3 linked regions of the Chlamydomonas reinhardtii genome follow. The protein of the gene in region 1 binds, or shares a complex with, the protein of each later gene. Links are inferred from orthologs where the notes say so. Each region holds a gene or a part of one and is shown on either strand. Other genes may lie near its edges.

Region 1 (4,950 bases):
CCGACACCTCAAACACACCTGATTGAACAGGCTGGTTGCACGCAACGAGCGCCTCGCCCAGACACCGCGACCCGGAGTTGGGAGGCAGCAGCGGGCCAGGGGAACCTCCAGCAACTAAGTCAACTTCAACCAGCCGCTCCCGCGCCGCCCTCCTGCCGGCAGAAGACCGCCGGCCGGTCGCGGCCCAGGAGCTGCAGGATTAACAGCAGCCGCACGTTGCGGGCCGCGTTCTCGTCACGGTCCTGCGGGTGCCAGCAGCAGCGGGGGCGGGGACCAAGTGTGTCGCGCGTCGCCCACCAAAAATCCTGCCCCCGCCCCAATTCCTGCCCCCGCCCACGTTCCAGCCGTCATCCCATGTCACTCCCACTCACCCACGTCGTGTGACAGTCATTGCAGACCCGGACATCGAAGCCCGCGCCGCCCTGCGGCAGCTCCTTGATTGCGGCGCAGGCTGCGGCGCCCGAACTTCGCACACATCTGGAAAGGGCAGGTCATGGGCGAGGTCAGGGACGGCGTGTACTGTGCCCTCACCATGCTCGTGCGGAACTCGTTGATCATGATGACGTGGCGCGCGAACCGCTCACGCAGCAGCCGCACGAACCCCCTGCGTGGCGGCTGATCCGCCCAGCTGACCGTGCCGTGGTAGCCCGCGCTGCCGCCACCCCAGTCCAGCACGCTTTTCTGCTGCGTCACCCCCGGCTCTCCGCCCATCAGGCGCACGGCCTCGCGGCACAACACCCGCTGCGTCCAGCAGTAGACCTGCAGGCGCTTCTGCCGCCAGGCGGGGGCGGCGTACAGCGCGCTAGCAGGTCCACAAAGCCGAGCTCGCGCACAGGTGGCTGCACTGCCGCCTCACCGCTGCACGTTTTCCTTGTGCTCTTTAACACAGGTGGCTGCACTGCCGCCTCACCCTGCCGCCTCACCCTGGACCCCGGCACCGCAGCTGTACTTGTATTCAAGGCGACCGAGGACGATCTGCCTATCCACCGCCCGGGCGGTTGGCAGGCTGGACTGCCAGGCGCACAGCGCAGGGTCCGCCTTCAAACGCAGCCTGCGTCTGCTGGTGTCGGGACTGTGCACCATAGCGGTCGCGTTGTCCCGCCCGCCCTCTGCCTGCCGCGTTCCGCCGCCCGCACCGCCACAGCGGCGGCGGCGGCTGCGGAGGCTGCGGCGGTGCGGGCGGCGGAACGCGGCAGGCAGAGGGCGGGCGGGACAACGCGACCGCTATGGTGCACAGTCCCGACAACAGCAGACGCGGGCTGCGGCCGCCAAGCAGCGCCACAAGCGCCGCGCGTTTACGCACTGCTCGGGGGCGGAGCACCGCACGAACTGCGGCTACAACTAACCAGCACAGCTGTGGCGTCTAAAGGCGGACACTGCGCTGTGCGCCTGGCAGTCCAGCCTGCCAACCGCCCGGACGGTGGATAGGCAGATCGTCCTCGGTCGCCTCGACTACAAGTACAGCTGCGGTGCTGGGGCCGGCGGGCAGGGCAAGGCGGCAGTGCAGCCAAGCGTCCGAGGATGGCTAACCTTAATGCACCTGCGACTGCGCGGCGCCTCTCCACCAGCCTCAGGCACATGATGGCTCGCGTGAACACTCCTTTTGCGCGCAAGGGGGACGCAACAAGTGACGGTGCTGACTCGTGCTCTGAAAATGGGAGCGGCCAAGCGAGGAACGGTTGGGCCATGGAATTGCAGTCGTCGAGCGGGAAACCCGGGGTCGCGTGTTTTAGCATGCTTTCGAGTGAACTGCTGCCACGCTAAGTGACGACGATGACGTCCTTTGGTTGCTCGTGCTCCGCGTCATCAATGACCATTCTTTCATTCTTTCCCACCAGGCTGCCAATTCCTAGCAGCGCCAATAAATAAAATGTCTGTCTCTTCACACGAAACATACAAACATTCCCTCGCCTGCCGCACGTTCACGACCTCGACCAGTCGACAGGCCCCCAACGCTTAACCTCGTGATCACACCCATTCCGTGCTCACAGCAACCTCTCAGTGATCTCTAGCTGTCCGAGTTGTGCAGCTGAGGCGAACGCTCATAGTTCCGCCCAAAGCCCTTGTCTGGCTGTGGCGCTCCGATGTGTAGCGTGGGCCCCGGCCGCAACGCTCATGTAGGGTTTGCAAGCACAGCAAAGATATGCCGTCGCGTTCGGGCCATGCCAGTGACAGCGGTTCGCAAGCCGGACACGGACAATTGCGGCCCCTCGACTTCGGGAAGTTCGAAGCGCGGCTTCATCAACGAGCTGCTTCGCGGGCCACAGCCAGACCTGTTCAAAGCACATCCTAAGGTCCGTCAGATCAACCATATCCTGCGTGGCCGCCACGACCGGCTTCGCGGACTGGAACGACCGCTCGGTGCTGTGGTGCTCCCCGCCTATCTGTGGGGCTCCATCGCCGCGGTCATTGGTGAGCGTCGCGCGTGCGCCGCTACGGCGAACTGAGTCCTGGGGCTCGCGGGGGATCGCAGCCGCTGCTGGGGAGGGCCGCCGCCCGCAGGGACCGCACAGGCGTTGCGCAAGCGGGAGTCGGGCACTGCGCTGCTGACACGTCATGACGTCACGACAGCCAGGACAAGGACCTCGCCTCCCGCGCCCCCTTGCGAGCTCTCAGCCCCTTCCAGAGCCCACACCAATCGCCGCCGCATCTTTCCATTCCCTCCTCCACTATCACTGCCGCCCGCAGGCCTGCAGTCCGCGCTGCCGGTCCTGTCCGGCGCCGCGGTGGGCGGTCTATTTGCCGTCATGCACCGCGTCTGCAACCGCAAGCTGTGGGCGGCGCCGCGCCAGCCCCTCACTGTGGTGGTCACGGGCGGCTCGCGCGGGCTGGGCAAGGCTCTGGCGCGGGAGTTCCTGGCGGCTGGGGACCGGGTGCTGCTGACCAGCCGCACGCAGGCGGCGGCGGACGCGGCAGTGCGGGAGCTGCGGGAGGAGGTGGCGGCGCTGAACGGCTGCTGCCCGCAGGTGCGCAAGGAATGGCTGGGCCGAAAGAGTGTAGGCGGCGTAGGTGTGCTTCTAAGACGGGGCAGTGCCGGATCGTGGGCTTGTTACGTTGTGGTCGGGGCGGGGCGGGGCGCAGCAGGCGAGGGGAGTGGCTGGTTGACCAGCACGGTGCACGTGTGCGAGTGCATTCAGCCATGTGCTGCTCCGGCGCCTATGCAGGTGGTGGGCGTGGCTGCGGACGTCAGCGATGCGGTGGGCGTGGCCGCTGTGGAGGCGGCGGCGCTGTCATCCTTCGGGCGAGTGGACGCCTGGGTGAACAACGCCGGGTACAGCGGCTCCTTCCAGCCGCTTGTGGAGCAGACCGACGCGCAGATCGAGCAGGTCAGTCCCCCTGCCCTGGCTGCCCCTGCCCCGCTTCTACCTCCTGACCTGCTCCGGTCACTATATGTGACGCCAGCCCACCCCCACCGTTACCATGCACGTGCCACTTAGCTAAGTCCTCGGCCCCATGTTCACAATTACCGTATCAGTTCCTGACCTCCATACCCTACGCCTTCGCTGCGCGCATGTTGTACTCAACGCTCCTTGCTTCAACTCCCTTGTGTCTTGCCCCACCGCCGCCCCCACCGCTGTCAGGTGGTCCGCACCAACCTGCTGGGCACGCTGCTGTGCACACGCCAGGCCGTGAGCCTGATGCAGCACCAGCCGGGTGGAGGACACATCTTCAACATGGACGGCGCCGGCGCAGACGGCTTCGCCACTCCCAACTACGCGGCATACGGTAAGCAGGGCAGGACGGAGGTGGCTTTTTCAGTGCAGGCATGGCCTTGGAAGGGGTTGCCTAGCTCCGCGCGAACGTCTCCGCCTTCTTGCTCCGCCCCTCCCCCCTTCTCCCATTCTCGCTTCTAGTTCATGACTCATGAGCAGTACTGTGCACATGCGACCCATCCGCAACTCCACGCCTGCATAACGTTTCCCTTCCACCCCGCCACAGGCGCCACCAAGGCCGGCATCACGCAGCTGACGGGCACGCTGCAACGCGAGCTGGCGGACACACCCATCAAGCTGCACACAGTCAGTCCGGGCATGATCCTGACCGACCTGCTGCTGGAGGGGGCCACCACCGCCAACAAGCAGGTGTGGGGGGATTACATGCATTAAGTTTACGAAGTGAAGTCGTAGGCAGGTACAAAGGTACACAGTAGTCGTCGTTACCGATGTCCGCGGAGTCCAGCGTCCGGCGCCCAGCTCCAGTACGTCCAGGCGCTCCGAGGCTGCTGCTCTCCCAATTTGCTGCCTATCCTAAGTTGAGATGGGTTGCCCGAGAGGTCTGGTAGTAGTGTAAAGCTATGTTATGCTATATAGTCGCGTAAAGCTCAGTAGTGCTCAGATGCGAATGCAGATGCGCGTGCAACGGTCGCGGTCGCGCGCGCTGGACTTTCCTAGACCCGTCTTGCTTTGTACTCACCTGCGCGCCGCGAGCACAGGCGCCGCACCAGGGACCGCGCGACGCATGCACGCAAGTGGGGCAGAGGCAGGGGGCGGTCATGGGGAGGGGCGAGTGGGTGTGTTTTGGATGCGTGGGGAACCCCCCGTGTGTGTTGTGGGAATGGCGAAGATGGCAGTGGTAATTGGGGAGGGGTCCGCGCTTGACTATTTTGCGCTCTTGCTGTCGCTCGGTTTCGGGCAACGTGCGCTTGTGCTTCTAGCCTCCTCTTGAACCCTCGCCACACACAACACATTCATACACACACCATCCGGACCATCATCCATGCCGCCTGTCACTCCGCCCGCTCAGGCCTTCAACATCCTGTGTGAGCACCCCGAGACCGTGGCCGCCTTCCTGGTGCCCCGCATTAAGAGCGCCGTGGCCCGCGACGTGAGCGGCACCTACACGCGCTTCCTGACACCGGGCTCAGCGCTGTACCGCCTGGCCACCGCCCCCGCCCGCCTGGGTCGCTTCTTCGACAAGGAGGGCCGCGCTGTGTACCCGCCCGAGCGCGAG
Region 2 (5,152 bases), on another chromosome or scaffold:
GATCAGAAGTGCACAGCCGTGAAAGCAGTTGGGCAGTCGCCCAACTTGGTAGGAGCGCTGATATCACCCTGTCTGTACAGGTGTGTGTCCCAAGTTCCCAATCCCTCGAATGCAGCTCCCGGCAGCCACGCCACTCACCCCCATGAGCGGGCTCTCGTACTCGACGTACAGGTAGTCGTCGGTCTGCTTGATGATCTTGGGGGTGAAGCCGTCGGGCTTGAGCTTCTTGACCTGCAGCAGGCAGCAGCAGCGCGGGATAAGCGGGTGGCAGCAGCAGCGGGCGGCAGCAGTGGATGTGAGCGGGAGGCAGCAGTGGATGTGAGAGGGTGGGAGGGCGGGCGGAGTGACAGGGTGGTAGGTACACAGGGTGACGATGGAGCGAGCGGAGTGGAACAAGGCCGGGGTGCGGGGATGTGTGTGTGCAGGGAGGGGCTGCCGGGCTGGGCGGTACCCTGCACACTGCGCATGCCCCCAGTGCCACCTCTGTCACGCTCACGTCGCCGTGACCCGACGCGCCCTCACGCGTACACACCGTGCAATGGCTGTGCTCCTGTTCCGTCCTCGCTTCACCGTGCCCCCGAGCCAGCCCAACCCTGTGCCGTTACCCGCGCCTCCCAGGTTTCCTAACGTTGTCGCTCATGAAGGCGGCCTCCCCTCATAGCGCCCATTAATCAGCTCCACCCAATTACAATATGGCTCGCCCCCGCCTCTTTTACTCTTCAACTCTTGAATCTTTCAACTCTTCCATGGCTGGCACCAGGCTGGAAATATCGGCCCAGGGCCCCGCTCACACCCCGACCTCGACACGCGTGTCATACACACACGTTCCCCCTTCCCTCCAAACCCGACATCGTCGCCACCCACCGCCTCCACCAGCTCGCCCATGGCCTTCTCCTGGCTGGCCGGGCCCTTCTTGCCGCGGCCATCCTCGGGGTTGTAGGTCCTGCGGGTGGGGAAGGGGGGCGCCAGTGCGTGTGCGTCAGGTCAAGTTGCCGTACTGTCCTGTGGAGGCGCAGGCGAGAGCTTGGTACGACAGGGTGTACCGGTAGTGCTGTGAGCCGTGCAGAGCCTTCAGCCCCCGCCGTTCCCGCTGCTCTGCCACAGTGCCTGCCAGCCTGCCGCTCTCTCTGGCCGTGCTCCAGTCCTCCCAAAATCCCCTGCCCCTATAGCAATGCCCCCCGGCCCTTGAAATGGCGTGTGTTAGAACACTCACAGGGGAGGGGCATAGTGGGTGCGGTCGTTGCCCTCCTCGGAGGTGGCAATGCAGTTGGGCGAGGGAGGGCACAGGTTCAGGGTCTGCACGCCTGCGCCGTAGTCGATGATGCCCAGGTTGCCCGGGCGAGGGGCCGCGCCGATGGACAGCAGCGCGCCCAGAACCATAACGTTCACGGAGCGGAGCACAATCTCCCTGTCGAGGCGGAGAGGGGGAGTCATTTGTTTGCCGGGGCATGCGCGATCGGCCAGCGAAATGTCGCGAGGCACGGTTGGCCTCGCGCACCGGCGTCGCGCACACACCGAGCCTACACGCCCATAATGCATTTGTGAAAGCAAGACGCTGGTGCATTGCCTCGCTAGTCGCGCAGATCGTGGTGCAAGCAAACTTGTGCTCGGGAGGGGCTGCAACGCAGCACCGAGCTCGACAACAGCATTTCGCCCCCGGCCGTCCACCCCTTAAATATAATTCATCCACTTGAGCATTTTTTGAGGCTCAAAGCAGCCATTACAGAAAGAAACGCGAGGTTGCCCCGAAACTCACTTGGGCTGGAGCTTCTCCTCGCTGTCGCCCTTCCAGTTGGCCGCCTGGCAGACCATGCGGCGAGCCACAGGGGCAGTGCGAACAACGGCAACAGCGCTGCGGCGCTGGGCCTGGCCAAACACAACACGCTTCTGGGCCTGCAGCATTTTAAGGGTTTGTTCTGTATAAGGGCAGCTAAAAGCGAGAGGAAATCGTTTCTTACGCAAATTGAGGCAGCTTAAGCGAGCCAGAGCCCACGGTCGCGCCAGCTCATTCCAAGGGACCCACGGGCCTTGCGAGCAAACTGCGCAACTGGAAGGCTGCTAATGCCCGTAATTCGCTACCTTAGTCACTGCATAAACATACATTGCTAAGCACAGGCTGTGCTGGACTCACAAGTTGGCTTGCTGGACCAGTTCACTCGTCGTCTTTGAGCCTCGCGGACCAGAGCACACGCACTGAAGCCAGCACAAATGCTCGGTGCTCACAGCAGCTCGGCGAAGGGTGTCGCTGGGTGCTCGAGGCGCAGGTGAAAGCCTCGTGCATGGAGCAATGCGTGAGGCTCCCGACGTTCATGTCGCATTCTAGAAGGAGGCTTTGACCAAATATACTCAATGCTGCAGAGCGGTGCTCCAGCGATGCCCCACCTCTGACATCACGACACACACTGCTTGCACTTGCAGGGCGAGCCTCGCCGCTGCTCCCGGCGGTGCCCCTGTGCTGCGCGCGCCGCTCCTGCGCCCGCTCTCGGCCACACCTGCCAACTCCTCCTCCTCCTCCGGCGCTTCCTCATCCGCATCCTCTTCCACGCTAGCACCCGACTGGCGCGAGCGCGCCAAGCCAATCCAGCCGGGCAGCAGCTACCCCGCGAAGGAGCACTGCTCCAACTGTGGGCTGTGCGACACGTACTATGTGGCGCACGTGAAAGACGCGTGTGCCTTCCTGGGGCCGGGTAGGGAGCTGAGGGGAGGGGTTCTGAGGAGGGGGGAGCAGGTAATGGGCAGGGGATGGCACCCGGGCAGGGTTGGGGGGAAGGGGGCGCGGAGAGATGGTGGTGTCGACAATTGGGGTACTGCGTTTTCTCAGACTCTGTCACCTGCCCCGACTCTTGACACAAGGTCATCCCTCCATGCAGGCATGTCGCGCATTGATGAGCTGGAGGAGCGCGTGCACGGCCGCCGCCGCGACGTCAACAGGTGGGGCTGTAGATGGGGTGGGGTGGGGTGGAGGGGGGGTTGTAAACACCAGCCCAAACCCAATGCAAACGAGCGAGGAGGAGAGCGTGGGGGAGCCGGGGTAGTCGCAAGCATTCCCACACACGGAGGAGTACTACATGTGCACTAGCGCGTGGCCGTGTGGTGTTGCGGTGTCGCGGCAACGCTCTAGCCGTGAAGCAATGCCTGCGCCATCGCCCGGTGGCGCTGCTCCTATGCTGGCTTGGACTCGTTGCCACGCCAAGCAAATGTCAACGTTTCACATTCCTCACATCACCCCAGGCTCCCAACACAAGTTCCATCGCACACACACACACACACACGCAACATTCGTAAACCGTCGCTTTGCTGCATCGCATACACTGACTTTGTGCAATGTTTTCCTTGTGCTTTTCAACACGCTCAACGCCGCCACTCAACACATACTCCCGCACCCCCCCCCCCCGCAGTGACGACGAGCTCCACTTTGGCGTCACGGCCCCGGGCGGCATGGCCTACGCTGCCAACGTGCCGGGCGTGCCGGGAGCGCAGTGGACCGGCATTGTGACTCAAGTGGGGGTTGGCTGGTGTAGATGGTGGGGTTGGTTGGATGGGTGGATAAGTGGGTGCCTGGGTTGGGATGGGGGTGGTGTTAAGGGAACAACGTCCGCGCCGTGGTCTTGGTATTGCATGGGGTCATGCGTGGGCAATGTCGTACTGATATGCCTCGGCGGGCCGCGCTCCCAACTACCTGTACCAACCGCCCCCACCGCCTCTGCTACTGCGATGCTGCTGCCGTACTGCCAACCGCTTGTCAACCCCTCGCTCCCGTACCCGCCGTACATACTTGCTGCCGCTGCCGTACCGTTACCCATGCAGATCGCCATCGAGATGCTCCAGAGCGGCAAGGTGGACGCGGTGGTGTGCGTGCAGAGCGACGAGAACGACAGGTGGGTGCGCAGGCGGTGGTGGGCGTGTGGGCGTGCCGAAGTGGGCAATGGATCGAATGAGTGACGATCCGAGCCATTCGGCTGTTCGATGGTTGACTTCGTGGCGCCTCGTGGAGCTTCAGAGAGATCAAGGACGCCTGGCCAATCTTGAGGGGCCCCACCGCTCATCCGGCTAAGTCGTCGGCTAACCCGGGGGGTGCGGGCCGCTCGTCCGGCTGGGCGAGCGACTCAGCGCGCTGAGCCCGCAGCCCCCTTCACTGGGCTGAAGCTCTCAGCAGCTGAGCCTTCCGCTCAGCGACCGGAGCTCGCTGAGAGCAGCCGAAACAGCCCGTGTGATCCCTCTACACGTTTGGTCCTGGCAGCGCCTCGACTCCTACTCCTACTCATACTCCTACTGCTCTTAACCTTCTTCTTCAGCCTCTCCGTTGTCAAAGCATAGGCCACGCTGTCCTCGTCGCCCGTTTGCATTGGGATTGCTGTAGGTTGGGACGGCATCTACAGCAGTACAGCCCCACTCCCAGCCCAACCGGCGCCATTCTCCCCCTGCTTGTCCTCCACTCCCGCAGGTTCACGCCAAAGCCCGTGGTGGCTCGCACCGTGGAAGACATCATCAAGGTGTGTGCCGTACATGTTTGTGCGTGGTGTACGTGTTTTTGAGCAAGCATAAAGTAAAGTGTGTGACACGTTTAGCAGGATGCACGAAGAGGAGTGTACGGCATGCCGTGCGTGTATGTGTGCGTGGGGGCCCACGTGGACGCATGCCACCCGTCAGGCCCCGCCAGGCCCCGTCTGCTGCTGACCCGCCCAACCCCACCCTAACCACATTCCAGCCGCCCCAACCATCCGACCAACCGCCCAACCGCCCCAACTGCCCAACCACCCCACACAGGCCCGCGGTGTGAAGCCCACCCTGTCGCCCAACCTAAACGTGCTGGCCACCGTGGAGGCGCTGCAGGTGGGGGTGTGAGGATGACAGGATGTGGTGGTGTGGGGGGGAGGCGCTGCAGGTGGGGGGAGGCGGCGGTGTGTGTGTGAGGAGGAGCTGCAGGTGGGGGAGGCGGTGTGAGGAGGTGGCGGCGTGTATTGGCGGTGTGTGTTCGCGCGAATGAGGCGGCCGAGCTGTGTGCTGCTGCACGCACGTGCGCGGGTTACTCGATCAAACTTGAGTAATGGCCTGAGCATTGGCAAGCTGACCTACGCCGCTGCCGTGCTCCGCTGCCGCCCTCCCCACCACTCGCGTTCCAACGCCTGATGTTTTTTCTTGCTGTCCCCTG
Region 3 (5,068 bases), about 360 kb from region 1:
GCACATTGGCCGGCTTGATGTCTCTGTGCATGATGCGGTGCTGGTGCATGTAGCGCAGACCGTCCGTGACCTGCATGTGCAAGCGGGGACGGCGGGCAGAGCAGTGTCAGCACACATCGGATGCAGGAGCGCCCGGCTTGGCCCCAAACCCCACCTCAGCACCAGCCGCCCTGAACCCTCAGGCCCCTTGCCCCCACCTGGTAGAACAGCGTCCAAATGCTTGGCTCATCCAGCGTTTTGCCCTGCTCCGCTGTCTTCTTGATGAGGCGCTTGAGGTCGCCAGCAGGCGCCCACTCGAAGATGATGATGAGCATGTTCTCATCGATGAAGGCGTCCAGCATCTGGATGATATTGGGGTGGTCCAGCTGCTGCAACAGCGTCACCTCCTGCAGGCACCGATCGCGCTTCTTGGCGCTCATCTCAAAGATCTGTGTGCAGTTGAAGAAAGAGAGAGGGGTGCAGGCATGGGATGGGGCTTGATGGGCGCATGGGAAGGTGGACAGGTTATGGCACATGACCAGGGAATCGGAAGGGAGTGGGCGGCGGGGTGTCATACACACGCGCCCAACTGCTTTCCATGAGCTGCCAAGGCCATCTCTCCCAGGTCGATGAGGCTGTGAGGCTGCTGGCAGCTTTGCAAGCAGCTACGGCCCAGTGGGTAAATGGGCACAGAAGGACGTCGCCGACGCCGCGGACATTTGTTCTGCAGCCCTTGCCCTGGATGACTTCAACCCAAAACAACGCGTGGAAGCTTGCGCTGCCAGCGGCTAGGCGGGGTTTACAGGCCCGGCCCACGACCACTGCGTCCCATCCTGCCATCCATCAGCACAGTACCCCAGCCGGACTGTGTGGCCCGCGGTGTACAGACCCGTCGGCTGGAGCCCTCAGTGGCTGCGCGGCCAGCTGCTGCCGACTCGCCGACTGGCTTGTGGCCCGCTGCGCCTGCAACCCGCGCATCCCCAGATCCACCGCAGCTGCGTCTGTGCGGCTGCGCCTGGGGCCACCAGCTGCGGCGGCGGGCTTCCCCAGGCAAGCCCACGGCCAGCAGCCGCCACCGTACTGCGCCTTGCCCGCGTCCCGCCGCAGCTCAGCGGTGCGGGTGGCCGTGCAGCTGCTGCACGTGGATTGTCACTGCTGAGCGGCTGTCGGCTATGTCCGTGGCACGCTTGCACGAGCGGCCATCATATTGACCGCCTGTTGGGGCCCACGCCTGCCGTTCCGTAACCGTAACCCGGCCTGGCCCCAGCGGCACACCAGCGCCCAACCAGCGCCTGTGAAGCTGCGCACTATGCCTGGAACACTGCCCCCTGGTCCGCTCTCCTCCCGTCGGAGGTCTTCCATGGAAAACACGCCCAGGCCGCCCAGCGAGTAGCTCACCTCGACCTTCTTCACGGCCACCACGCGACCGTCGTCCCGGCGGATGCCCTTGTAGACCACCGCATAGCCGCCTTTCCCCACGGGTTTCTGGACGTCGTAAGCATCCGTTAGCCTCCCAGGGCATGAAGGTACGACGCCCAGGGTCTCCCCGTCCCCCCTGGCGGTGTTTGGAGCCTCGCGCGTTGCTGGGCGACTGCCATTTTTCGATGCCTGCCGCGCTGGTGACGGGACCGTCTGCAAAGACCCCGCACCAGGCTGGGCCTCAACCGTCTGGGGCCGGCTTTCTGACTGCCTGCTCGTTGGCCGGCTCATTTGCTCACTTTGCTAGACATGCGCGACCGCGGGGCTGACCGGATATCGCCCCGCGAAGAGCTGTATTTAACACATCTTGTTTTGATAAGTTGGCAACATGAACTAACGAGTGGAAAGCTTATTAGAAAGCGGCACAACACCAGGTCGTTTGAACGCGTCGTCAAAGGTAAGAAGTAAAGCTTGTTTTCACCTTATAAGGCTGGGCATTGAGCTACTCGCGCAGCGGGCGATGGTAAAGAAAACCAATGGGCATGGAACATTTGGGACTCACGAAAATCTCTGTCGCTGCTCAGGTATTTAGTATTTTCATTCAATGCCATATTAATGCAACCATGAGGCAAGCGCTATCAGCTAGGGGCTGTGACCAGCGACTGGCGCAACACGGCTCCAGCTCAGTTCTTCGTCCACTGCAAGCACGATCTCTCCTAAAACGCTTGCAAATAGCTAGCTCCAACCAGACACAGGCGCATACAGATGTTGCAGGAACGAGCACGAGCGGGAGGGAGGAGGTGAGTCTCTGCCGAGTGCTGCGTTGAAACAGCGCTTGCCTGGGACATAAGCAGTTGCGTGGTCGCTTTAACAATTCCTGGGTGTCGTCAGCGGAGCAGATGCAGCTAGTCACGGCTTGGACCAATATCTGGGGACGGTTGACAGCTCAAGGGGAAAGCGGAATACTGCTCCACAGTCCTGGCGCAGAGGACCTGAGCCCCCCGTGCGTTGTGACGTGCACGTGCAGCGGCCCATCACCATGTCCACTGGGGAGTGGGGCGAGGAGCTGTACTTCGACTGGTAAGCGGATGAGCGCCCACCGCGCAACTCCCCTTTCGGGGTCGGCTGACTGCGTGGAGCCGGATGCCCCTGGGGGCAGTGCATCGCAAACGCCAGCAGCCTTCTGCAGCGCGGGCACAATCTTCGTGTCAGGGTTTAGGTCCTTGCCTTCGCGGCCTTCACGCTCTGACGCCTGGGCAACCGCCGCGTCGCGCCTGCTGCAGGGAGTACAACTCTCAAATATGCTACCGCCAGAAGGGAGAGGTGCGCGGTTGCGTGGGAACTCCACTCACGAACTCACCATACTGAGTCGCATAAGTCATGAGGCACTACCATCCCTGCAGCCTTCCCGTCATCTTTCACGGACGGCCCCGCCCCTTCGTCCTCCCAATCCTGATTGCAATGGTGAACGCACTCTACCCACACCCTGCGATTTACCACTTGCCGCCCCCCCCCCCCCCGCGCACAGTCCGGCCCGCCCATTCTGATGCTCCACGGCTTTGGAGTGGGCAGCTGGCATTTCCACCGCAACTGGGAGGACCTGCAGCACGACCACCGCGTGTGGGCGGTGGACCTATTGGGGCAGGGTGAGTGCGCACAGGGGTGCTTTATATGGTGCTGGACAATCGCTTGCACTTGTGTCCGGCCCTGCTCTGTCCGCCCCGTGGGTGTCGGCATAATTTGAACTCGAACAATCACCAAGTCCTGTGCTAACCATTGGTCAACGTACTGCTGACTCCACACACACACACGCGTATGCACACACGCCACAGGCCGTAGCTGGCCGGCCCAGCCTGTGTCGACCTCGGACGCCGCGGGCAAGCTGTTCTTCAGCGTGGACACCTGGACGCGGCAGCTGGAGGCGTTCCTGGAGCAGGTGGTGCGAGAGCCCGCGTACGTGGCCGGCAACTCCCTCGGAGGGTGAGTACGCGCTGCGAGGGGGCGGGATTACTTACCGTAAAGCCAAACTAACCCAAGAGGGTTACAGGCAACGGAGGGCGGTGAAGGTTGTATAGGAATGCTTGTGAGCGGCAGGGGCACAGTGCCCAGCTCTTGCTGGCCCGCGTGCACGCTCACACACAGCGTGCTCGCAGTCTCGCCAAGGGGTCCTTCTGGTCGCGGTTGCTGTAGCTTGGGATGACAGGCCGCGGCCCCGTTCCGTCGCTGCCATGGCCTAACCCTAGAGGCATGCCTGAACCTGCCTTCTCCCTGCCCCGCCTGCAGCTACCTGGCCGTAATGCTGGCCGCTCGGCGGCCCGACCTGGTCAAGGGGCTGACGCTGCTAAACGCAACGCCCTTCTGGTGAGCAGCGGGGGCACATGGCGGCGCGGGCTGGTGCGGTGAGAACAGAATCCACACCTGGCACTTCCTTGAAGCCATTGGGCCATGCAATCGGTGCTGGCGCCACACGCACTCGCGGCGTCGACCCCCCTTCTGCGTTGTGCTGTTCCTGATACACACACACGCGGTGTCTGGCTGTGGTGCGGTGCGGTGGAAACGATGGTCTCTCATCTGCTAGCTAGTCCTTTTACTGTCAGGATATCGCAGCACAACATCTGGCGATGCGACTGCGCAGGGCCTTCCGGCCGCCCCGCGCGTCGGCCCAGGCGCGCAGCTGGCTGTGGCGGGCACTGGACCGCGCGGTGGACGGCTCCGTGCCCGTGCCCCACGTGAGTGCTGCCATGCCGCGATGATGCTGTGCAGTACGGTAGAGAGAGGCAGGCTCCAGCGGGCGAGTTGCATGGGCGACGTGTGGTGTGGAGTGACGTGCAGCAGCCTCGTGTGCTGACAGGGATACGCTGTGCTGCTGCCCCTTTGCCCCGCAGTCCCTCAAGAGCGTCATTGAGCGCTACTGGTGAGCACGAGACGTTCAGCCGCTGAGCACACCGCATGGATCTACACAGCGCTGTTTGCGCTGCGCTTCAGCTGTCCTACCTGACACCTCCACGCAAACACACCTGCCGCATGCATCTCAACCGCCGCCGCCTCCATCACCTCCCTGTGCTTGCAGGTGGGACACGCTGCGCTCGCCCGCCACCATCAGCGCCATGCTGCAGCTGGTGTACGCCGACAAGAGCCCGCCCGACCCGCCGCTCATCAGCCGCATCGTGGAGGCCACACAGCACCCGGGCGCACTGGACGCATTCACAAGCATCGTGCTCAGCCCCAAGGTGAGAGCCCCGCATGCTACCTCCTCTTTTGCTTTTTCTGTGAATGATGTGGGGACGTTCTGCCATCTGCCCCAGCATCGATTGAGAAGAACCGATTAAGACTGACCAAGACCGACTGAGACCGACTTCCCTCCCGCCCGCCACTACTCTCCTGCCTGCCTGCCTCTCCCCAGGGTGAGCTGTCGTTCGACGAGCTGCTGGACCGATTGGCCTGCCCCGTGCTGCTGCTGTACGGTAAGGAGGACCCCTGGGTGCGGCCGCTGTGGGGGCAGCGCCTCAAGCGGCGGCTGCCCGAGGCCATGTACCTGGAGCTCAGCCCCGCAGGGTACGTGGCCGTGTGGGTGAATGTGCGGGGCGGGTGCGGGGCTGCAAGCTAGAACGTGTCACGTGTGTGCATCCGCGGTGTGCGCTACCGGCTGGGACGCAGACGGCTGGGTGGG

The links. The genes of interacting proteins can lie anywhere in the genome.
Region 2: CHLRE_12g517700v5 (region 1) and CHLRE_11g468700v5 share a complex: the UniProt entries of both Arabidopsis thaliana proteins name them as parts of the SGR1-CCE-LHCII complex. The link is inferred for Chlamydomonas reinhardtii from reciprocal best matches to the Arabidopsis thaliana genes NYC1 and HCAR.
Region 3: CHLRE_12g517700v5 (region 1) and CHLRE_12g514700v5 share a complex: the UniProt entries of both Arabidopsis thaliana proteins name them as parts of the SGR1-CCE-LHCII complex. The link is inferred for Chlamydomonas reinhardtii from reciprocal best matches to the Arabidopsis thaliana genes NYC1 and PPH.

What each region holds. Positions count from the first base shown.
Region 1 is NC_057015.1:4,070,874-4,075,823, forward strand, and holds the start of CHLRE_12g517700v5 (uncharacterized protein), read left to right. Parts: upstream 1-1,932; 5' UTR 1,933-2,162; coding exon 2,163-2,412; intron 2,413-2,688; coding exon 2,689-2,966; intron 2,967-3,164; coding exon 3,165-3,326; intron 3,327-3,581; coding exon 3,582-3,726; intron 3,727-3,939; coding exon 3,940-4,082; intron 4,083-4,743; coding exon 4,744-4,950. Other genes in the region: CHLRE_12g517681v5 (uncharacterized protein), read right to left, coding at 126-242, 372-477, 1,531-1,580. UniProt on the Arabidopsis thaliana protein: Involved in chlorophyll b degradation. Belongs to the chlorophyll catabolic enzymes (CCEs).
Region 2 is NC_057014.1:2,061,390-2,066,541, reverse strand, and holds the start of CHLRE_11g468700v5 (uncharacterized protein), read left to right. Parts: upstream 1-2,116; 5' UTR 2,117-2,208; coding exon 2,209-2,264; intron 2,265-2,418; coding exon 2,419-2,687; intron 2,688-2,870; coding exon 2,871-2,931; intron 2,932-3,398; coding exon 3,399-3,501; intron 3,502-3,807; coding exon 3,808-3,878; intron 3,879-4,444; coding exon 4,445-4,493; intron 4,494-4,767; coding exon 4,768-4,833; intron 4,834-5,152. Other genes in the region: CHLRE_11g468750v5 (uncharacterized protein), read right to left, coding at 139-231, 865-943, 1,214-1,408, 1,757-1,902. UniProt on the Arabidopsis thaliana protein: Probable iron-sulfur flavoprotein that converts 7-hydroxymethyl chlorophyll a to chlorophyll a using ferredoxin as a reducing equivalent. Catalyzes the reduction of a hydroxymethyl group to a methyl group. Belongs to the chlorophyll catabolic enzymes (CCEs).
Region 3 is NC_057015.1:3,711,020-3,716,087, forward strand, and holds the start of CHLRE_12g514700v5 (uncharacterized protein), read left to right. Parts: upstream 1-2,032; 5' UTR 2,033-2,198; intron 2,199-2,425; 5' UTR 2,426-2,437; coding exon 2,438-2,478; intron 2,479-2,681; coding exon 2,682-2,721; intron 2,722-2,926; coding exon 2,927-3,044; intron 3,045-3,230; coding exon 3,231-3,378; intron 3,379-3,681; coding exon 3,682-3,759; intron 3,760-4,033; coding exon 4,034-4,127; intron 4,128-4,283; coding exon 4,284-4,312; intron 4,313-4,468; coding exon 4,469-4,628; intron 4,629-4,801; coding exon 4,802-4,953; intron 4,954-5,068. Other genes in the region: CHLRE_12g514650v5 (uncharacterized protein), read right to left, coding at 1-70, 198-428, 1,378-1,689. UniProt on the Arabidopsis thaliana protein: Alpha/beta hydrolase dephytylating specifically the Mg-free chlorophyll pigment (pheophytin), yielding pheophorbide. No activity on chlorophyll. Belongs to the chlorophyll catabolic enzymes (CCEs).